4 linked regions of the Arabidopsis thaliana genome follow. The protein of the gene in region 1 interacts with the protein of each later gene in a pairwise test. Each region holds a gene or a part of one and is shown in the gene's direction. Other genes may lie near its edges.

Region 1 (6,629 bases):
GTCTGTGTTTGACTATGGAGTTGCACATAAATGGTTAGGGATCAGAGGAATAAGTTGACTCAGGAAGTTTCTTCTGCTTTCAGCGGCAAGCTCAACATCCTTGTAAGTTCCCTTCTCATGCTAAAGACATTTGTTGTTTTCTATGCTTTTTTTATTGAATTTTCTACACATTGGAATCTTCACCAATCTTGAAATTCTACATATCACATTAGCTCGTATCCTTGCAAGTTTCTTATCCGATAGAACAATCTTCGAACCATTCTGCCACACTTTTATCAGGTTTCTATATATGTTTGGTCTTAGGATTGAATGGTTTAGACTTTTGGTGGTTTTGCCTCGAATGATCAGCTATCTGTCTATTCCATACATGTAATGTGAAGGCTTACGGTTTTTTGTTGAACCATATAGTGATGCTTGTTGATCTCATGTAAGTTTTCCATCTATTAGGCAAGATCTGTTATATGTTAACATAGTTAAGATTACCAGCACCGGAGGAAATCGCGTCACTGGTTGCTTTTCTTTGCCTTCCTGCAGCCTCCTACACTACAAGACAGGAAGAGCTAAAAGCATGCTTAAATGATTGCAAATCCAGTGGTTTAGTGGTGTCTGGTTCGGTTAGAGATCAGAGGGATAAGTTGATTCAGTGGCAAGCTCAACATTCTTGTAAGTTCCCTTCTTCTGCAAAATGCTTGTTAAAACTGACTCTCTAGTTTTTTCTCAGCATTGTGATCAGAATCGTCATTGATCTTGAAATAGTTTATTGCATTAGCTCTGCATCCTTATAAGTTCCTTCTCCATCAAAACATCCTCATACAAATCTATTTGCTGGCTACGCTTTTGTCAGGTTTCTTCATTAGGTTTGTCTTAGCCTTGAACGGTTGAGATTTGTGTTGGTTTTGCCTTAAATGCTCTGTACCTTAGTTTTATGTCGTTTCATCATCATATTTTTTTTCTTGCAGAAATCCAAGGCATCGGATGCAAGTGAGGAAACTATCAATGTACTAAATTAATTGCATAAAATCCGTAGGCCATACAATGGTTTGCTTGGTGACATATGATTATTCAATGACTTTGTGTGCAGACTACATTCGATATCAATGTCTTTGGGACGATAACTCTTATAAAGTTGGTCACTCCTCATATGCTAAAACAAGGAGGCGGTCATTTTGTTGTGGTACGTGGAGACTAACGAGGGATAGTTTTTGTTAAGTGCCCTAATTTTGTGGATTTGTTGAAGGATTGAGCTTCATATCATAGTTTATGGATATGGATATACATTGCGTTTTTTATATGTTAAATCTAAGGCTTTTAAGCTATGTATAGATAGTTTAAGGTTTCTTTTGTATTTTTGTCTTCTGCTTGCTAAATTCCAAATCATGTTACCGTATACACATCTTGAGAAGTCAAACTACGGTTAGCTATTCTTGTATGTGTTAATTTTCCATTTCCTTGGGTTAAATGTCATGATTAATAATTCACGTCAGTCTATAGATAAGCAGTGCTGCAGGAAAGGTACCATCACCTGGACAGGCTATATATTCTGCTTCAAAACATGCTCTGCACGGCTACTTCCACAGCTTGCGTTCTGAGGTATGTTAAAAGTTAAAGAAACTGTGGTGCTTGCTAATTATTTGGCAGCTAATGACTTATTGAAAGTCACAATAGAAAACTCACAGCTACCTCAGAGTTTTCTGATTTGATTTTTTCTTTTACATTCCTTTTCACTAATTGCTGAGAATAGCACCATAAAGTAACAATTCACAGTTGGTTCACAATCTGCCTATGGTTTCAGTTCTGTCAGGAGGGAATCAAAGTGACCGTCGTTATTCCTGGTCCAATAGAAACGTTGAATGGTACAGGAACATCAACTTCGGAAGACAAGAAGTCTCATGAGGTTGGTTAACTGATTGTGATTTGTTGATTAAGTTGTCAGTTTTTTGTACTTGTACCTTTCCTTTAAGCAACTAATCAGTCTTGTAGACACATAGAATCCTCTTCCTTTTCAACATTAGGATCTTCTATCTCCGGCTTCTTTCTCTTTTTATTTCCACTCAAAGATCTTTTCTTTTGCTACACAGAAGCGTGTGTCATCTGAATGATATGCAGAACTGACTATAATCGCCGCGTCTCATAGCTTGAAGGAAGCTTGGATTTCATATCAGGTACTTGTTTGTCAAAATCGCATATGTTTCACTCAGTTTAGATGCTGATATACGATCTTCTTTTTGCTATTTATCAGCCAGTACTGCTTGTGATGTATCTAGTGCAGTACATGCCTTCCCTTGGCTTTTGCTATTTAGTTTCTTTGCGCTCAAGAGGTTTTCAGATGCAGCTACGAGATAAATCGGACTACTGTATATAGTAATCCAACAGGCTTTTGAGCCCAGTGGACTTGAGTTCCTAGAAAAGAAAAACCGAAAAGAAAGTTATGTGATGCGTATATTGAAGACTAATGAAAAGCTTTTGGGGATTCACTTGCTGCCAGAAACTCACAGACAACACTCCTGCCAAAGCTGTCACAAGGCTGATCACTGTTCATTCTTTCCTTCTCTGCAGATATGTGCCGGCAGTAATTTAATTTTTGGTAACTGCTTTCTCCTTCTTCTCCTTTACTCATTTCCCCTATATTTCCTTCCTTTTATCATCATTATATACAAATTGGTAAATATCATTTTTAGATTGTGATCTTCGAAAATTTATTATAGATGTCAATAGATCTAAAAGTTTATACAAGAAGAAAAGGTGAACTCGGAAACCGAAAAGATGGAGAAGGAAAGTCAGGAAAACTCGACCAGACCCGATGCTTCGTCTACTGTTTTCTCTTCCTCTAAGGTAATATCTCTCTATAATCCAAATATCCAATCCTTTTTCTCTTATGTGGGTGATGCGATATTTATACAAATTGCAGAGTACATGCGCAAGCCCTAGCTATCTCAAAGAAGCTGGAGACTTGATCAGTAGGTTGCCTGATGATATTCTCCAACTAATTCTCTCCTATCTTCCAACCAGATTGGCGATCAAAACTTCCGTTTTATCCAGGCGATGGAGGCATGTATGGTCTGATACATGGTCCCTCTCCTTCCATAGGGACAGACCGGATGCTCCTTGTATTAACAGAATCCTAGATCGCTACAGGGCTCCCAAGATGATGAGTTTTCGTATCTGTTCTTGTTGCAGGGCAGCCTGTATCAGCAGACCCGACACGCATGCTGACATCGACAGTTGGATCAACTTCGCCATGTCCCGAAACGTGGAGAATCTGTCCCTGTATCTCGATGAGGATAAATATGATATCCCTGAATTCCTTTACATCAATTCCTCTCTCAAGCAACTCTACCTTGATTTCGGCTGCAAAAAGGATTTTATATCTCTGAATCCCAAATGTTCTGTGTCTTGGACATCCCTGAAGAACCTGTCATTGTATCATTGCAACATCTCTGATGAATCCATTGCTATTATTCTATCTGGTTGTCCCATTCTCGAAAGCTTATTGTTGTTTTTCTGCAAGAAACTGAAGGTCCTTGATCTCAGCAAATCACCGCGTCTGATAACATTAGAAATCACTCGTAGATGTCGAATGGAGCCAACACAGCTCGTTGCACCACATATCCGTTGTCTCAGATTGATAAACTCTGAGAAACCATGTGCTTTAGTTGATGTCTCCTCTTTATCCCAAGCTGAACTAGACATTACCGCTTACGCAATAGTTGATAATAAACTGGAGGCTGATTTTCATCAGACCATGGTGGTAAAGATGTTAGAAAAGTGTCAGAATGTGGAGAAGCTTACTTTGGGGGCAAACTTTCTTAAGGTATATGTTTTCACTCCTGATTTAGTTTACATAATTAGGCTCTGATTTTCAAGAAAACTAGTGTGTTTTTTGGTATACACTCATTTGTCTTCTGTTTTTTTTTGTTTGTTATAGATGTTATCTCTTGCCGAGCTCCGTGGTGTTTCTTTTCCAAAGTTGAAGGCTAAAGCTCTGATACTTGAGACAATGATCTCTCGATATGTTATTCATGGTATAGTAAAGGTGCTACAAAACTCGCCTGACTTGAAGAAGCTAACCATACACCCAATGGGGTCTGCCGGCTCATATCCCATACCGGTAATTATGAATATTCCTTGACCCCGAATTTTGAATCATCATATTGAAATATACTTGCATTACAGGAAGAGCATATTGACATATACTTGGATTCTCATGGCTTGAATTGGGATCCATCCTGGAGCTCGGAGTTTAAGAACACTTCCCGCAGGAATGTAGAGTCAAAGCAAGTGGCTTCGTTTCTGCAACTTGTGCTTAAAACCATATCAACATTAGAGTTGATTGTCGCAAGGTTGGAAGGTTATATCAAAGGAAGACGTTTTGTAGAGTTGCGTCAGATGGTTCCAATGCTTCCTCGCAACAACGATGTCTCCATTGTGCTCAGCTCAAGAAGAAAACGATTCAGAGTGACTTAAGTCATTTTACATTTAAGTAGTACACTAGATGAAAATCTCTTGTTTGTTTTTCTTACTGAAATAATCGAATTCTGTTAAATTGATTTTAAGTTGTGAAATTGTTTTTACGTTTTACCATTTCCAATCTACTGGCTAACCTCGGAAAAACGGTCTAGTGAGCGAGCATTGCCTTGAGAAACAGTACCCGCCAAATCCAGCTCTCATGTACACAGTTTGATATTATTTCTTTCCAGTACTTTTGATTCAGCAACAGAGAGTTCTTTTCGGGCTATGTAAGAATCAATTTGCATTGTCTGCAGCCTATCCGGTGGGGAGCTGAGCCAAGGAGCAAGATTTGCTCCATATCCATTTTCTTCAATTCTAGTTATGCATGCCTTGAGATCCACGTACCTAAGATAAACAAAGAATCAGTCAGAGGTGACAAACCTAGGACAAAAGAAGTTGCGGAATCGAACAAATTTTGGCCTAAGGAACAGAAGCAAGGCATATCAAATATCACAAGTCTCAAGGTCTTGGATCTCTCTGAGAACAATCTTGATGGATCTCTCCCTTCATCTCCTGGGATACAGGCATGAAAGAATCTCTCGTAAGTTCATCTTCGCTTTTGCGTTTCATATACAGCTTCACTATCGTAATACATAACTTAGCAGTGAACTGGAAGAATTCAAAGCAAGGTCTTGCCAACAATAACGTCTGCCTCTACACTCTGATAGACCTCTCCATAACAAGCTATTCGGAGAAATCCCATATTCTTTAGGCAATCTCAAAAGCTTAAAGCTTTTAAACCTCTCATACAACGACATCTCTGGATTGATCCCACAAAGTTTTGGAAATCTTGAGAAGGTAGACCTTTCACACAATAACCTCTCAGGCGAAATCCCGCAGAAACTATCCAAGCTCAGTGAGCTGAATGTATGGAGTTGAGCAACAACAAACTTATAGGTAGAATCCATGAGAGTCCTCAGCTAGACAGATTGAACGATCCGAACATTTACGCAAACAACAACAAAATATGTGGAATGCAAATCCAAGAACCATGCTCGACACAGACCAAGCAGCCAGAGAAGCAATGTTTTCATGGAAAGCTGCAGTCATAGGTTGTCCTTGTGGAATTCTAATGGCAGTTGTCTAAATGTATATGGTTGGCTATTTCAGAGACTCATCACCACCACCAAGGCGATCTCTCAAGAACAGATGACTGAAGAAATCAAAATCTCTGTTTTTTTTAAAACGAAATGGAAGATTATTCAGATGCTGTAACATTGAAAAATAAAACAGTCTGTTAGCAATCCCTATGAAGTGATGTTATCAAGAGAGTTAAACAAAGTAAATTGTCAAATCACTTTCCAAAAAGTTGTATTTTGATCCTCTGTTTTTTACTCGATGAAAACAGAATCGTTTAATGTAAACATTGGCAGCATATAACAAATTCACAAAAATCTGTGTCTTTTTGGTGACATCAAGGATTTTAAGATAACAGCAGAGATTTGTTAAGCAAAAAGATTGTTTAAACAAGAAATATCACCTTCTTGCGATGACGATCAGTGTGAGACATATATTCCAATGGAACACGAGCACCCCTAGAAAGCTTTGAAAGAACAGATACTAAATCTCCAAGACCGGAAATGTCCTCATTAGCAACCTTCTTTATGATACAAAAATGGTTGCAGATACAATTTCCATCTTACTTATCCTCACTCCTAAACTTAACAACTGCATACAAGTAGCCAATGCACAAAGTAATATCTAGCTACTTTACTATACCCAAGAGGGATCTAGAATGTCAATTGCATAGAGTCCATGGTCATCATCAGGGACCAATACTTCAATATTATCATCCAACGGCTCTGTATAACCTGCCAACAAAATAACATTCAAGTTCAAGATCTGCTTCATAACTCACTTTTCTAAAAGTCCATAGTCAAACACAGACAAAATCTTCTAAGTGATCCTCATCAACCATTTGCTTTCAGATTTTGATTTTGGTGACAGGAATCGATTTGAGAAATAACCCCAAAACCTGAAATAGAATCAATTGTATCTAAAATGGGATTGAGAGACGTCAAAATTGTTTTGAATAGAATGAATTGTACCTAAAAACAACAACTTTCATCAGATTGAGAGAAGAAGACGAAAAACTAATATGGAGCTAGCAACATGTATAC
Region 2 (6,197 bases), on another chromosome or scaffold:
GATTTTCTTTACTGGACTAACGTAAATAAATTAATAACAATAACCTATCTATATGGATACACTTGAACAGCAATTATACGAATATGGAGCAAGACAAATAGCAGTTCTAGGAACACCACCACTTGGCTGCGTACCAATACTAAGAACTCTAAAAGGAGGTCTTCGTAGAGAGTGTGCTCAAGATATAAACTATGCTTCTCAGCTTTTCAACGTCAAACTCTCCAACATTTTGGACCAATTGGCAAAAAACCTACCAAATTCCAATCTCATTTACATTGACATATACTCTGCTTTCAGTCACATCTTAGAAAATTCAGCAGATTATGGTAATATTAGAACGTGAATATTTAATTCTTATAAGTACTAAACTATACAAGCTCATGTATATATAACTTGAGTTGAGAATTAATGCAGGGTTTGAAGAAATAAAGAGAGGTTGTTGTGGAACTGGATTTGTGGAAGCTGGTCCACTTTGCAATCGATTCACAACATTTGTGTGCTCCAATGTATCTGCTTACATGTTTTGGGATAGTCTCCATCCTACCCAAAGATTCTATAAAATCTTAACCAAAATACTTTTTGAGAAATACATCCACAATTTAAATTGAGTAGTGTGATCAAATGACTCACATTGTATGCTTTTATTTTTCTTAAAGCTTGTGCAGTTGTTATAAATTGTACAAAATTATTGTAAGTCACTATATTGATTACCAATTGATTTTAAGAGAAACTTTTATCACTCTTCACATGCTTTCAAAGATCAAATCCATATCAATCAGTTCATTTGATCGACAGCTATTCTGTTTATGTAATGATTATCTTTTTCTTTTTAGGTCATGATGATGTAATAATATTATAGCTCTCTGAAGTAAAGTAATCAACTAGATAACATGAAATATAACCAAATTATATGATTTAATCTGCACATTGTTGTGGGGGTAAATCAGTCAAATAATTGAATAAGACTGAGTGGTAAGACTTGATTTGCTGGATTGGCTAAATATATATTATCAGTCCAGTGATACAGGGAAGAGTGTTGTTCTTTAACCACAAAAACAAACAAGTTTCATACCATTATTCAAGGGACTCGATGAACTCTCTCAACCCTTCTTCACCTTTGTATAAAGTATGACGATAAAGTAAACAAATTCTTTAAAAAAAAAGAAAAACTAAATTGAAACTAAAATTCGAAACAAAAAAAAATACTAACAAAATAAAACCTAAAATTTATTTGAGATGGAAAATGCAAACATCAAAGTTCTAGTAGTATTATTGTCTATATGGATTTCATGTGTTCAAGCTCAAACTGGAACATTTTCAGCAGTTCTTGCATTTGGAGATTCGATTCTCGATACTGGTAACAACAATTTGCTCATGACAGTATCAAGAGGCAATTTTTTGCCATATGGACGCGATTTTCCTCATCGTATTCCTACAGGAAGATTCGGGAATGGAAGAGTTCTATCAGATTTAGTTGGTACTAATTGTTCTCTATACAACATATATATATAAGACCAATTTTCTCTTTCACATTCTTTAACCTAATGAGTAATCAAATAGTTCGAGAATCATTCTATAATGAAAATGTACATGGTATATATGTATGTAGCCAGCGGTTTAGGGGTAAAAGATCTTTTACCTGCTTTCCGGAGCCCATTTCTTAAAAATAGTGAACTCGCTACCGGCGTTTGTTTTGCATCCGGTGGTTCAGGGTTAGACAAATTCACTGCATCTATACAGGTAAATCTACTTGTTATGTACTTCTTACTTTCAATAAGATAAAGTAATATATGTTCTTACTCATTTACTATATGTGCAAACTATATAGGGGGTTATATGGGTACAAGATCAGGTGAGTGACTTTCAAAGATACTTAGAAAAGTTAAACCAACAAGTTGGAGATGCAGCTAAAGTCAAAGAGATTATAGCCAATGCTGTGATTCTAGTGTCTGCTGGTAATAACGATCTTGCCATCACATATTTTTCAACTCCGAAGAGACAAACGAGATACACTGTCCAAGCATACACTGATATGCTCATCGGTTGGAAAACTACCTTCATAAATGTATACAACACACATTTATTTATAACTTTTTTTCTTCATAATATTGTTCTACCTATAATGATTATTTTGTATGAATAACAGAGTCTATATGATCTAGGAGCTAGAAAATTTGCAATTCTTGGAACGTTACCGTTAGGGTGTTTGCCAGGGGCGAGACAAATTACCGGAAATTTGATATGTCTTCCGAATGTAAACTATGGTGCTAGAGTTTATAATGACAAAGTAGCTAACTTGGTCAATCAGTACAACCAAAGGCTTCCCAATGGCAAATTCGTCTACATCGATATGTATAACTCACTTCTTGAGGTCATCAATAATCCTAGCCAATACGGTAAAACATTGAGTAACACACGCAAATTTTGAATATATATGGTAGAAAAAACAAGGGTGCTAATTTCTACATTGTAATACATTTCAGGGTTTACGACGGCAAAACCATGTTGTTGCTCGGTGATGACTCCGATTCCGTGTTTAAGATCTGGTAGTCACGTGTTCTGGGACTTTGCCCATCCTTCTGAAAAAGCCTATAAAACTGTTCTACCTTAGATCCTCAGTACCATCCAAAGCAACCTCGCCTAGTCACTAATTTTCTCTTTCTTTTTTATATTTAGACATGAGAACCATGAACCTTGGTTTGAATATGATTAGTTCCTCGATCGACGATGAGCCGCTTGTAGGTCTCTATTGTTAAGCTTGATTTATGTGTTCTCATCAATTAATCAGAATCAGTGATAATTTCATTTGCAATAATTTTGGTGCTTCTTAGTTTACCAAACCAGAAAAGTTATGTGTTTGGAAAAGAAGAAAAAAATACTAGAAGAAGATAAAAGATTTCCATCCAACACAAATACAAAGATCAACAAATGAGAGAAATACAACACAAATAAATATGTTATTAATTTTGGTTTGTTTAGTGTAACGCAATATTTTTCCCAAAAATTGTGGTGTTTGTTACCTACTTTTTACATTTTCCTTGATATTCACTACAAAATACCCAAATAATAATTCATAATTTCACATAGATTTTTACATACAAACGTGGAGGTTTTCTTTGATTAAAACATAAAAACCCTAGTCAATGATTTTTGCACACGTAGATAAACTGTATTTTCTGAAATCAGATGTAAATCTGAAAAAGTAAATATTATTAACGGAATACAGCTAAGGTGAAGTTTGTGGAAAAGTAAAAATATTTACTTTATTTAAAACAACATAAATTTTCCATTTTTTAAAAACTTAAATTTCCAATATTTGTTTTACTTTTTACTGTTCTCCTATTAGTAAAAGGAGTAGATTAACTTAAAAGCAATAAGCCGGCAAAAAAAAAAAAACTTAAAAGCAATAAACCGACTTGAATACCAATTAAGAAATTGGCTATAAATAAGGCTCCAACTTCCCAAACCTTGACACCATCACAACAATCAATCGCAGCGCCGATTCTCCTTCAAAAACTTTTCCTAAGTCGTCACTTTTTACGATGGCAGAAACGAAGAAGATGATCATCCTTAAGAGCTCCGACGGTGAATCCTTCGAGATCGAGGAAGCCGTCGCTGTTAAGTCCCAGACGATTAAGCACATGATTGAGGACGACTGTGCCGATAACGGAATTCCACTTCCCAATGTCACCGGAGCCATCCTCGCCAAGGTTATTGAGTATTGCAAGAAGCACGTTGAAGCCGCTGCTGAAGCTGGTGGAGACAAGGATTTCTATGGTTCCGCTGAGAACGACGAGCTTAAGAATTGGGACAGCGAATTCGTCAAAGTCGATCAGCCTACTCTCTTCGATCTCATCTTGGTTAGTAAAGTCGCTTTCATTGTTTAGGTTTGATGTTGTTAGAATTAGGGTTTTTAATTTGGGGATTTAGGTTTGATTTTGCAGGATTCTGTTAGGGTTTTAGTGTGTTGAATGTCGTTTTGATTTGACTAATCGTTTTGGTTCTTTGGTTTGTACAGGCTGCGAACTATTTGAACATCGGTGGACTTCTTGACCTTACGTGCAAGGCCGTGGCTGATCAGATGAGAGGCAAAACTCCAGAGCAGATGCGTGCACACTTCAACATCAAGAACGATTACACACCTGAGGAAGAGGCGGAGGTTCGCAATGAGAACAAGTGGGCGTTCGAGTGATTGGATCGGATCTGAAGGGTGTTTAGGAATCTCTAGTCTTTCTATTTAGATGTGTTTAGCTTTCAAGATTTCGGATTGTTTTTTTTTTCTTTCTTTTTCTCTTCGATTGGAGTTGTCCTTGTCGATGAAAACCTAATGCTTTGTTCTACTAACAACATCTATTGGTTTTTATGAGAAATATTTGAGAGAAAGTGTTGGTCTTGCTTAATCTTTTTGCTCTTTATACATGAATGTGTTCTCTTTAGATTATCGTTAACGTTCGCTATCGTTGTCGTCTTTGCTGGTTACAACGAATGGACTTCTCACATTGTACATTCCGTTAGACCATGTTATAGATCCAAACGCATCGTCCTTGAGTATTGTTGTAGTAGATGAAAAGATCACTTGGTAGCTGAGTTTATCTCCTATCTTCCTGAAGTGTAGCCTTCTTGGTATAACTCTGACTAGTAATCCTTCTGGTGCATCGATACTCACAGTGTAGACTGTATCTTCATCTCCAATGAGGCGTGATGCTACATTTGTCACTGTTCTGCTTACCCTTCTGCTTTCTTTTCCATTGAAGTTAGAAATCGAGATTGATGGGTAGTTGATGTTAGATATGTCTCCCCTGTTGCTTTGTTCAGGACAAGCAAAACCTTGTGGTATGCGGTTTGATATCTTTTTGATCTGATCAGATGTAAATCCATAGTAGCCGAGGAAGTTTAGGTAGTCCATGTGATTGGTTTCATAAATCAGTCCTGGTGATGAAGGTCCAAATATAGTAACCTGCCCAGCACCAAAGTCATAAGGTGTGGCCTTTTCTCCTGTTTCTGTAGTTATATGGGAACCTGTGTTGGTCATTTGCACGGCTGCAGATACAGTTGACTTGGGTTAACTCTAGCTGATCAATCATCCGTAACTGGTATCTACTTGATTTTGATTTCTCACCTGTTGTCATGATGGCAGATCTGATTGCTGCAGGACTCCATGAAGGGTATCTGGATTTGAGACGAGCAGCAATCCCGGAGACATGGGGACATGACATTGAAGTCCCTGATTCAATGTTGAAGAGTGGCGGTGGCTTGCCTTCTGGTGCTGCATTTCTGTCACCGACTAACCACGATGCTAGTATGTTGACCCCTGGTGCTGCAATATCAGGCTGTAACAGGTTTATCAATATTTTGTTTTTGAAGTTTCTGTGAATACTGTTGAGATCATGTTTATGATGAATATTAGGGCTTATACCTTGAGGATGCTTCTGGTAAGCAAGTAAGGACCTCTTGATGAGAAGGATGGTATGGATGGAGCTAACATGTGTCCTGTTCGTGATCTTGTAGGCATGATTGTTGCAATTGGTTCTCTACAATATGGATTATGATATATTAGTTCTGTTTTTTTTTTTTTTTTGGGTAAAAATATTATTATTAGTTCTGTTTGAAAGCAATGTCTTGTGAAATGAGACATCTTAAACCTTGTTGAATTTATGTAGGACATGATTTGTATGCCGTCCTCTGGTTTTATTATTGTCACTAGAAAGGAGGGATCAATAAAAGACAGATCCATTGACTCGTCATCAACAAGTACCATACCGATACCTCCAAGTCTCTTAACCTCGTCGCTTTTCCACTGGATCACCTGGTTATCAAGATCACTGTCACACACAACAATCTTTCCCTTAACAATGGTTTGGTCTAGTGTATCAGGTGCGCAGTTCCTGAAGGTTTGCAGTTGTGTTGTCTTGTTAGTATAGGTATAGCAAAGTTACTCTATAATTTTACGAGGCAACTATTACCTAGCAGCTTCCTCATTAGCATCAATCTTCTTGGCTGATCGTGCGTGTATAAGTGGGTAAGCCTGTGTTTTATCGATATTGGCAATATTTATTCCAAAACCCTGCAAAAGAAATTCTTTAAGATGTTATGTGAATGGAGATTTGTCCGTTGATTGGCTTTTCCTTCTTACCTCGATTAATCTGTTTTCATCTCCTCCCAGAAGAATGTTGGACTCAAAGCCACGGTCAATAGTG
Region 3 (5,322 bases), on another chromosome or scaffold:
GTATAACAAAATTCTCTGACTTATGTCTACCGATGCAGCTTATTGTTAATTCCCAAATCTAAGCTTAACTCTGTTAGCATATAAATCCTGATTTAGTAATGACATATTGATACTTTGTTACTTTTCATCAAACAATCTAATACTGAACTAGATGAAAATACAGCATTGATATAACTGAAAGATGGTTATTGACAGTGATAAACTGACCTAAATTATACCCTAAACTGACACACAATTCTAAAGCATATCAGTTTCTAAATACACAATAGATACAAAACTCATGAATCAGCTCATACCCATGAATCTCGACAAATACAAAAACCCATGAAAATTATAGCTTATAAGCATCATAAACTCAATACAAAACCCATGAATCTTACTTTGTCCAAAACGAGCTAAAATAAATAATCGAATCCATCTAATGACTCAAGGACAAATCAAACCCGTGAGTCTTACTGCAAGAGATAGAGAGGTAGAAGGGGAGAGTGAGAAATAGTGAAATCAAATCCATGAAACAGAGAGATAGAAGGAGAGAGTGAGTGAGAGAGAGAGAACGCACGAGAAATCCGGCAAAGAATAGTGGATTACGGCAAGAGATAGGAGTGAATTCTAGTGAGAGATCCAGTGAAGAGGTCCGGCGAAGTGAATGTCGAGGAATGAAGGAGAAATAGGTTTAGGTTTTGCTGGAATTCTTTTTAGGTAGGTGTATTTTATGACATTTCGTATTTTGGATTAAATCAGCTTCCGTTAACTGCTGTTCTGTTCCTTTTTTAAATGAGTTTATTAAAAACCATCCAACTGATCCTTCTCGCTAATCTTTTAAAGTACTGTTCGTTTTTCCATTCGATGATTCATCTAAATGAAGATAAATATTGACGTTCGTTTATAATAATTTAAAAGATCATCTGAATGGAGAAAAGAACAGTATCTAATTCACACACAAAATGAACATAAAAATTAACTAAAACTATAATCATATTTTTCTCCAACAATTTTAAAAACCAAAACCCATGAATGTTCGTTAATTTCAGTTTGTTTAGTGTAACGTAGTTTTACCCAGTAAATAATAATTTATTAAAAAAATTGTGGTGTTGGTTACCAATTTTTACATTTTCATTGATATTCACTACAAAATACACAAATAATAATTAATTCATAATCTATGTGAACGTGGAGGTTTACTTTTATTAAAACATAAGACCCTAGTCAATGATTTTTTCACACGTAGTAGATGATTAACTGTATTTTCTGAAATCAGATACGGGTAAATCTGGAAAGTAAATATTATTACTAAGGTTGAGCTTTTGGAAAAGTAAAAATATTTCTCTTTAAAAGAAAAAAATAATAAAGATTTTGTTACTTAAAATTCCAATATTTGTTTCCCTTTTATTGTTTTCCTATTATTAAAAGGATTAGATTAACATAAAAGCAATCAACCGACTTTAATTACCAAGTAAGAAATTGTTTTTACATAGATCTATAAATAGGGCACCAACTTCCCAAACCTTGAGACCATCACACAATTCACAATCAATCGCAGAGCCGATTCTCTTCAAAACTTGTCTAGTCCTTTGTCCTTGTTGCAAACGATGGCAGAAACGAAGAAGATGATCATCCTCAAGAGCTCCGACGGTGAATCCTTCGAGGTCGAGGAAGCCGTCGCGGTCGAGTCCCAGACGATTAAGCACATGATCGAGGACGACTGCGTCGATAACGGAATTCCACTTCCCAATGTCACCGGAGCCATCCTCGCGAAGGTTATCGAGTACTGCAAGAAACACGTTGAAGCCGCTGCTGAGGCTGGTGGAGACAAGGATTTCTATGGTTCCACCGAGAACCACGAGCTCAAGACTTGGGACAACGATTTCGTCAAAGTTGATCATCCTACTCTCTTCGATCTCCTTCGGGTTAGTAATGTCTTTTTCTTTGTTTTTTGGTTTTATGTTTTTAGAATTAGGGTTTTTTATATTTTTTCCATGACTATGTTAGGGTTTTATTTATATTATTGAATGTTGTGTTTTGATTTGGAGACTAATCGTCTTGGTTTATAAAGGCTGCCAACTATTTGAACATCAGTGGACTTCTTGACCTTACGTGCAAGGCCGTGGCTGATCAGATGAGAGGCAAAACTCCAGCGCAGATGCGTGAACACTTCAACATCAAGAACGACTACACACCTGAGGAAGAGGCCGAGGTTCGCAATGAGAACAGGTGGGCGTTCGAGTGATTGGAAAAGAATTTAAGAACATTTGATATCAACAAATAAAATAAGAGAAATTTATTTTGCCTGAATTTCTTTTTGCTTCCAATCTCTTTTGTCACAAAACTCCCAGAAGTGTTTCACATTTTCTTCATTCAATCCCGGCTAAACTTTATATACATAAAATCACAAAGTAATATGCATTATCAATCAAACGATTTCACAGACAAAAAAAACAGAAAAGAGATAATAATACGTCTATCTATATAAGCTATATAATTATGATGTATTTATATATCCAATTTGCCACGTTTATTTTATGATACAATAACATGTTTGCCCGAGCCATAGACGATATGAGGCCAGATGAACATGGTCGGATCTGAAATAGTCTCAATTTCTGAAATCCAATGGTAAGAGCTTATCTTCCTTTCTTATCTGCTTAAGATATAGATTTTTTGAATTTCCTTATAAAATGATTGGTATGTATAACTAAATTGGTTACAGAAAGGAAGAAAGGACCTTTTGCATCATTCGAACCAATATAAAAATGGTTTTGTTTTGGTGATAGTGAAATTAAAAATAAGCTTTCCTTATACATTGATCAAACTCGTACATGATTGGCATAATTCAGATGATTCTGCTTATACCAACTAATATGTTTTGCTGTATATGCTTGTATATCTCAGATGAGAACGGTCAATGTTTGGTAAGAAAGACACTAAACTCTGTTGTTACCAATACAAAGGTAAGAAGAGTTCATTATAATCTTTAAAACAAAAGGGATAGATTCCGAGTGTTATATAAAACTAAGTCAAATGTTTTCAATCATAGATGTTTCCTATAGCAATATTTAGAAGCATTAGTCGCAGTGACAAATGACTTATTTTCGAAAATAAAACACAGGTTAGTAATAATGTTAAATTGCTTTTGATTGCTTATTATATCTTTTTGTAGATAGACTCTGAATGTTTAAAATGATTGGTCCTAACTTAGAAAAGATTTTGTATTCATGTTTGTTTCTACATTAACAATAACACTATATCAGATCACGACTCAATTTACGAAATTATGAATGTGATTTCATTAATCAAACTTTTAAAAGTTTATGAACATACGTAACAAAATAACAGAACCTAAATCTAAAAACAAAAAGTCAATAGACACAGTAGATCATACATTTATTAATTTATCTCAAATGATGGCTTCATAAAGTATGAATCTCGTTGTTATTGTGTATGATTTATTGTGTGGGGGATAGATGGAAGATTTTTTCTTTATAAACTATTTTTTTTGCACTTGTATTGAATGTGATATTAAATTGTGTTATCCTTACCTTTTTGTCTAAGCTGCTAAGGATGACCTGTATCGTAAACTTTCAGATGAAATGTTCTAAATAATATTGGTGAGCCTCCTAAAGTCTGTGACTCATTCCTTTATTTTGTATGCAAGATCTTTTGAATTTTTCGTTCTTGGAAGATGATCATTGATCAACCTGAGGCATCGCGTTGGAAAATATTCAATTTGACTTATTCGATCATCAACATCTTTGATCATCACTGTATCATAGATCTTCGAAAATAGCTAGGCTTTGATTTACCCTTTCCAGGATTCTGAATTAATCTCGTGTATAGTCTAGGATTTTGAATTTAGGGTTTGTATGTTCTTGGATTCTGACATACATGGAAGACTGTTCTACAATACACAAACGGGTATTGTGGCTATTTTGATATGTTTATAGATGATTAGTGGAGGCGGAGGACATGACTTATAGTTCATGTTCATATCACCGACATCACAAATAATAGGAGAGAGATAGACATATATCTTGCAGTATCCAATCATAACCAAATTCTTAGCCTCATTTTATCTCAATAAATTTTCATTACACTATTAAATGATATTTAAACATATGTACCCATAAATTATAGTGATCATATCAATCATTTTCTAATTTTTTCTTCTTTTTGTTTACTTTTTTTGAACTTGATGATCTTTCTTCTATAATCACATTTGATGTGTGCTTCACATCAACCATCAAATTAAGAATTTCGACTACAAGCAGAATCACAGAAAAAAGAAAATTAATTAAACCCAAGCCATATAAGTCAATTATATATAGAGTTTAATTATCATATAGATAATTATATAACTAATGCATATATAAATACCATACGGACCATGTTGCGAATGATGAAGATGTTCGGACCTTTGAAGTATTGTCTTGATCAATTTCTCTTCTTTTTTTACCATTTCCCATGCATGCTCACATTTAGCTACTCGCTCACTTACAAAATTCACTTTTGCCTTTTAGAATAAAAAAATATTTAAAAATTCACTGTTATTATTCAGCAAATTGTTAGTTTAAAACGGAATTTAAATTTTTTTTTGTTAAAAGATATAATTATATTTTAGCTCATGGACAGCATTTTTTTTTTATGGACAACATATATATGTGACCTAAATACAGGAGAGGGGATTTACCATTAAAATTTCAATATGTAGCTCCAATATTTCCATATATTTAGACATGTAGTCATTGGGATATGTAGAACTGAGGAAAAAATAAATGCAGTCATTTGACATATTTTGAAAAAACTTTACTAGAATACCAGAATCATAAAACTTAAATCAAATAATAGAACTGAAAATTGTTCTGATCAACTTAAGTTATAAAATATCAGAAACAAATCGTGACATGTAGTTTGGAAGAACTGTACCATATTGATTCATCATTACCAATTAGTTTCGCTGCATATGTTTATAACCATGGGACAAGTTATACAATTATATATTAGTTCGACTTCCCTTTAAAAGTAGAAATTAGGGAGTAGATATATCACAACCAGAAACTTGGAAGAAGGTAGAAATTGTTGGTTTAAGTTTAACTATCGTTTTGTGATGGTTGAGATTTTTTTTGTGATAGTTGTTTTGCTATGCATGGTCATTTTATATTACAAAAATGTTGAACTGTTTATGGCAGATATATAATTATGTTTGTATATCCTTTCACTAAAAAGGAATATCCTTTTCTTTTTTGAGTAAAAAACATATTTGGTCAAAAAAAATATTTTATTTAATAGATTGTAGATTTTAAATTAATTTCATACCTTGATTATTTG
Region 4 (5,597 bases), on another chromosome or scaffold:
TAGTTATACGTACAAAATAATTTAGTTTATATTATTATTATTTATTTTTTTCCTTTTCCTTCCCAAATCTAGGATGGGAATAAAATACTTCGTTTTAATATTCTTTTTTTTCTTTTCGGGTTGATAATTGAGAGGTTAAGATTTTCTTAGAGCGATTTATTATTTTATGATATTAAAATATACGGACGATATACTGAAAGAAAATTCATGCGAGAGGATGTTAATATGCAAATTAATACTATTCAGTTGAATTTTGCCATGCAATCTTTTTGGTCGTAAATTTTGTTGAAAACTTATCCAATCTCATATGAAGCGTCCCAAGGCCCATATCAACACTTATTACGTAGAAAACATCATAAAGCGAGAGAAAAAGAGAGAGAGGCAGAGAGATAGGAGCGTATGGGCTTTCTTTTTTGTTTTGTCAAACAACTTTAATTTACTTAAAACCTAAAAGAGGGATGTTCATACAAATAGAAACTGAAAAAAACACAAAAGGAGGAGAGATAATGGCTCCATGAGTTTTTCAAAAAGATGCTCATCTTTAAAGAGTTTGCAAAGATTAAAAAATCTGTTGAAGCAAAAATTGGGTTCGCCCATAAAGACAGACTTCACAAATTCCTCGACCACCATGTGGTTATAGATGGCTCGAGCGAACAACGCATACAAGCTTTTAAGAAAACGTTCCACGGAAGAAGCTGCCGGATAAGAGAGATTGTCGAAGATTCGGTAACTACTTCTCCTTGGAGATGCAGTCAAAATGCCGTTATTCTTCAAACTTTGAAAGGTTTGCAAATTGATCAAGAGCTTGTCGAGCCTAAAGAGTTGCTCACCTTAAGAATTACTAAAGATTGCTTTATAATCCTAGAAAAACCACCAATCGCAGATGTTGTGTAATGTCATATACATGAGCTCAGAATTCAGAGGAAATGGATTTAAAGGATTGAGAAAACTTCGGTAATCATCGTTCCGTAAAGACGGGCTCATAATGCTGAATTTCTTCAAGCTTTTGGTTTCATGAATTAATTTCCGTAGAGAAGGAGCGTATGGCTTAGTTCTAGAGAACTTGTTCTTGTCTTTGATGCCTAAAGCAAAAAAAAAAATTAGCCCATTAACAAGTAATAGAAAAAAAAATACACAAAAACTGTAGACTATATCGAACTCGTCTAATTGAAAGGCAACATAACCACTGTGCCAGAAAAACTTTTTGGAAATTGATGCCCTCTAAATCATTAATACCGTTTGGCGCCTAAAGCCCATGCTTCACCAGCTTTAGCTCAGGGCCGGCCCTGGACATCATAGTGCTCCTGGTAACTCGTTTCTGTTTTGGAGTACCCCGGTAAAATTAAGTTATGAGTCTGCCACTACATAACTGCCATAATAAAAAAGTCAAAACATCTAAACCACATTTAATTACTTATATAAACAATATTCCTCAGAATTAGATTGTTTAAATTAATCTAATAAAGTTATTGACAAAAAAAAAATTGTTGCTAAAATGCTAAATGTTGAAAAAGTAAGTATCTTAGAACAAAGTACATGTCATCAAATTAATTATTTCTAAAACTTATAAATAAAAAAATCTCACTATATTATACTATATTTAATATTTACATTGAGTTGATAAGAGATACCAAAAATTAAATTTTGCTTTTAGGTGAAATCCTATCTATAATGGTTAATATTTTTAAAATATTAAATTACAATATTAGTATAACTTATATAAAATCTAATCAATATAATTTTATTAGCATGTGTGTAGTATATGTATGGGTCAAATATTAAAAGAAAATATAAGAGCCTAACAATTAATTATATAGTAGGATTTTGTTATATTTATTTTTCCTTACTATATTTCCTAAATTAAAGATTTGACCCACTCTCAACTCATTATAAAAAGAGAGACATTATTTCATAGCTTCATCAATTTTATTCAACAATTTCTCTCATTTCATTTCTTCCATAAAATCTCTCAAAAATCAACAAAACAACAAAACAAACAATGTCTTCGAACAAGATTGTGTTGACTAGCTCGGATGATGAATCGTTCGAGGTTGAGGAAGCGGTGGCTCGTAAATTGAAGGTCATAGCACACATGATCGATGACGACTGCGCCGATAAAGCAATCCCGCTTGAAAACGTCACCGGAAATATCCTCGCTTTGGTTATCGAGTATTGCAAGAAACACGTACTTGATGATGTTGATGATAGTGATGATTCTACTGAAGCAACAAGCGAAAATGTAAACGAGGAAGCCAAGAACGAGCTCAGGACTTGGGACGCAGAGTTCATGAAAGAATTTGATATGGAAACAGTCATGAAACTCATTCTCGCTGTTAATTATCTCAACGTCCAAGATCTTCTTGGTCTCACTTGCCAGACCGTTGCAGATCACATGAAAGATATGTCGCCAGAGGAAGTTCGAGAACTCTTTAACATTGAGAATGATTACACACCTGAAGAAGAAGACGCGATTCGTAAGGAAAACGCTTGGGCTTTTGAGGATCTAAAGTAAAACCATAAAGTTCCGTTTTCTAAGTGTTGATCTCGATGTTCTTTAATCTTTGTTGATTGCATTCGTTTCTTTGAATTCATGGTTTGTGGTTTCCTTTTGTATTTCATCATGTTATAATGTTTAACAATATTTACTTATATATGCCAATGTTAATTAATTCTTTCCAACCAAAAAGCCTCTGGCGATTCTGAATTCTTTCGCCAGCGGAACAGTATAAAATATAGCGTACATCGCCACCGTTTGATGAAGACTTGGGCACTGGAAATTTATCAAAATACATGTGCCCTAGGGCTTCTCTCTGTTAAAAAATTAAACATTTACGATTTCTTTTAGCCACGTAGTGAAAATTCATAATGAAATGATAATTCAATGCATACCTACACATATCGCATATGTATTATTTTACATTAAATGTAATAAATTAAATCATTTCATATTTTCTAAATAATGTAATGGTATTTTTCTATCATAGAAAGTTATTTGTGAAAAGTATGAAAGCATTTAATTACATTTAATGTAAATTAATACATATGGGATTTGCACCCAAAATTAAAATAAAATAAAATAATAATAATCCATATGGGATATGTGGCTATGTATGCATGCATTGAACTATAATTTTCATTATCTACATTTATAAATTAGTTTTAAGAGAGGCTTCACAATGGGTCGATTTAGCAAGAATATATAAATTATTACGGGCCCTTTAAAGCCCATAATATACTAAACATCCCGTGAGTGTCAATTGTCAAAGGCTAAAAGCTAATTCAAGCAATCACATTTTAGTCTAATCCTTTTCATGTTCCGAGATATCGACCAAAGAACATTCGACACCAAATCCACATATGCTCTAAAGTTCTATATGAGAGAGAAATATACAATCGTAGAAGGAACAGATCTAAAATACTATCTAAAATACAATATATCTTTTTTCCTTCTAAAAACATATGTTAAAATTTAGTGAATCAGTATAAGATAATAAGATACATCAATATATTTCATGGTTTTCAAACAATTTGATTTAAGAAAGAAAAAAATAGGTGAGATGGTTAGGGCTTAATTATGTTTGTTAGGCGACGTGTTTATAATTCCAAATTGATAAAAATTGCATGACGCATGCATTTCATCTCTTTCTCTCTCGAGTTGCTTGGAAGTTGAGCCAACCCCTTTACTTTGCTTCCAAGTTTAATAATTTTAATAATAATTAGTGTTCATTATTGTCAATAATTCTAATATTGAATCATCATATCAATGTCTATATCAAAGTTGTTCATGGTGGAACAAGACCTTCCAAAACAAATTACCACTCTTGTTACGTAAATATTAATATATATATATTAATTAGAAGATTCTCCAATCTATGGTTAACAATTTATATAGATTTTAATAATCAAAAATAGACTACTTTTTGTTACAAAATGTTACCTTATTTAGAAGTTTTTCCAGCTTTAACTCACACATGATGCGGCAAAAAAATCCAAGCACATGATAATTATCTTTGTGGTTTCACGGGCACATGGAAACATATACAATTACTTAATTTTTAGTCTAGTTAGGTTCATCAATATGCAAATTAAAATGATTTTTTTTCCTTTTTGTGGCAAAGAGACTTCTGTTTTTTCATACCAGCAAAACAGTAAACCAATATTTTCTATGTAGTCGGATATATAATTTACTCGGATAAAACTATTGAAGCACTTGACATTGTCACAAAGTATAAATTTCATTTATAATAAAAGAAAAAAAAAACAAATTAAAAATCTACAATTTTCCACATTCAGTGGGAACAAACGACACCGTTTCTTTCTCAAGATCATGAAGTACATTAAAATTCTGCTGTTGAACATTTCCGAAAATAGACATCCCATTAGAACTTCCCATGGCCAAACACAAAACGCCGGTGCTTGAATCCGCCACCATGTAGTTCTCTCCGGGAAGCTCCAAATCAGCACCTTTAAAATGAAAAATCATCTTAGGAACAGCAATATTCTTGGCAGCATCAGGTAACTTGAAGCACAAGTCAAGTCCCGTGGATCCAGAGTCATCTACTGGTAAACTCATCCGAGAAGTAAACTCCTCTTTCAACACTTTAAACGCGGTCTCCTCGAGATACGTGATGGTCGTGCCTGAGTCTATGATCATACCTCCGGTTCCATCTTCGGCTAGTTCAAAAGTAGACTTTTCAACAGAAAGGCGTTTTGCTCCAACGGTGATGCCTTGTAACTCAAGGTAATAGAACGAAGGCTGATCTGGATTTCGTAGCAAAGACATCGTTTTGGTGACTTCACCATCTAAACTTGCACCTGTTTTGTTGACGATACCCGAGGCTAAAGATCCAATAAACAACGAGCTAGATGCTTCACTATCCTCAATCGAGGTCAAGCAATAAGAAAACTTAGTCTCTTTGAGCTGAGAAATAAGCGAGAGCGGTCCGCGACCAAGACCTACAAGACCTGACCCTTGAGAGAACCCGTCGCCTTCGTTCTCAACCCCACACCCAAACCCGATACCAGAAATCGAGTTCTCGTCCTCGAAAGTGAACGTTTCCGTGGCCAAGAGCCCTCTTGTAGATGAGTAATCTCCATAAGTATACAAATACTCACAAGCATCTTTATCTTCGTTACAGTTTGATCGAGGCAATGCGTTACAAAGACCAGAAGAGCATCCTACTTTCGAGTAAGAGGAAGATTTCTCCGGGTCAAAAATCGGAGTTGGTTGATCAAAACATTCAGTGCAAGGCTTGCATTGAGTCCAAATAAGGTCACTTCCGGTATCAACAATAGCAGAGTATTTAACCGCCGGGTTTCCAATAGACAACTCCATAAGAAACTCACCGCTTCCTCCATGAGTAGGTGCTTTAATGTTATTAGTATCATCAGGCTTAGAGGCTACAGCTAAAACAGCTACAGCTCCTAATCTGTTTAATCTATGGAATCCACGGTTAATCCCTCTCTGAATCTTTTGGATCTTGGTGAGGTTTTTACCGGAATCCACATGTCGAAGACTCAATCGAAAACCGGATCTCGGAAGGTTTTTCGGAAGAGTACGGTCGATTAATGATCTTCTTGACGATGAAACCGAGATT

What was found.
Region 2: the proteins of AT3G03360 (region 1) and SK4 interact in a protein complementation assay, tested with the Arabidopsis thaliana proteins (one study listed by BioGRID).
Region 3: the proteins of AT3G03360 (region 1) and SK3 interact in a protein complementation assay, tested with the Arabidopsis thaliana proteins (one study listed by BioGRID).
Region 4: the proteins of AT3G03360 (region 1) and SK16 interact in a two-hybrid assay, tested with the Arabidopsis thaliana proteins (one study listed by BioGRID).

Annotation. Positions count from the first base shown.
Region 1 is NC_003074.8:792,455-799,083, forward strand, and holds AT3G03360 (F-box/RNI-like superfamily protein), read left to right. Parts: upstream 1-2,451; 5' UTR 2,452-2,584; intron 2,585-2,705; 5' UTR 2,706-2,832; intron 2,833-2,908; 5' UTR 2,909-3,050; coding exon 3,051-3,052; intron 3,053-3,177; coding exon 3,178-3,811; intron 3,812-3,925; coding exon 3,926-4,108; intron 4,109-4,173; coding exon 4,174-4,464; 3' UTR 4,465-4,559; downstream 4,560-6,629. Other genes in the region: AT3G03350 (NAD(P)-binding Rossmann-fold superfamily protein), read left to right, coding at 39-102, 244-279, 474-663, 922-998, 1,082-1,174, 1,492-1,590, 1,793-1,894, 2,079-2,099; AT3G03370 (uncharacterized protein), read right to left, coding at 4,969-5,140, 5,251-5,429, 5,990-6,109, 6,229-6,320, 6,394-6,427.
Region 2 is NC_003070.9:6,982,888-6,989,084, forward strand, and holds SK4 (SKP1-like 4), read left to right. Parts: upstream 1-3,424; 5' UTR 3,425-3,542; coding exon 3,543-3,860; intron 3,861-4,018; coding exon 4,019-4,192; 3' UTR 4,193-4,444; downstream 4,445-6,197. Other genes in the region: AT1G20132 (GDSL-like Lipase/Acylhydrolase superfamily protein), read left to right, coding at 71-326, 415-608; AT1G20135 (GDSL-like Lipase/Acylhydrolase family protein), read left to right, coding at 1,237-1,477, 1,610-1,740, 1,829-2,065, 2,147-2,396, 2,484-2,611; AT1G20150 (Subtilisin-like serine endopeptidase family protein), read right to left, coding at 4,445-5,040, 5,120-5,330, 5,417-5,531, 5,643-5,885, 5,964-6,064, 6,134-6,197. UniProt on the Arabidopsis thaliana protein: Involved in ubiquitination and subsequent proteasomal degradation of target proteins. Together with CUL1, RBX1 and a F-box protein, it forms a SCF E3 ubiquitin ligase complex. The functional specificity of this complex depends on the type of F-box protein.
Region 3 is NC_003071.7:10,945,819-10,951,140, reverse strand, and holds SK3 (SKP1-like 3), read left to right. Parts: upstream 1-1,514; 5' UTR 1,515-1,589; coding exon 1,590-1,907; intron 1,908-2,053; coding exon 2,054-2,227; 3' UTR 2,228-2,394; downstream 2,395-5,322. UniProt on the Arabidopsis thaliana protein: Involved in ubiquitination and subsequent proteasomal degradation of target proteins. Together with CUL1, RBX1 and a F-box protein, it forms a SCF E3 ubiquitin ligase complex. The functional specificity of this complex depends on the type of F-box protein.
Region 4 is NC_003071.7:962,233-967,829, forward strand, and holds SK16 (SKP1-like 16), read left to right. Parts: upstream 1-1,981; 5' UTR 1,982-1,999; coding exon 2,000-2,512; 3' UTR 2,513-2,669; downstream 2,670-5,597. Other genes in the region: AT2G03180 (uncharacterized protein), read left to right, coding at 532-894; AT2G03200 (Eukaryotic aspartyl protease family protein), read right to left, coding at 4,274-5,597. UniProt on the Arabidopsis thaliana protein: Involved in ubiquitination and subsequent proteasomal degradation of target proteins. Together with CUL1, RBX1 and a F-box protein, it forms a SCF E3 ubiquitin ligase complex. The functional specificity of this complex depends on the type of F-box protein.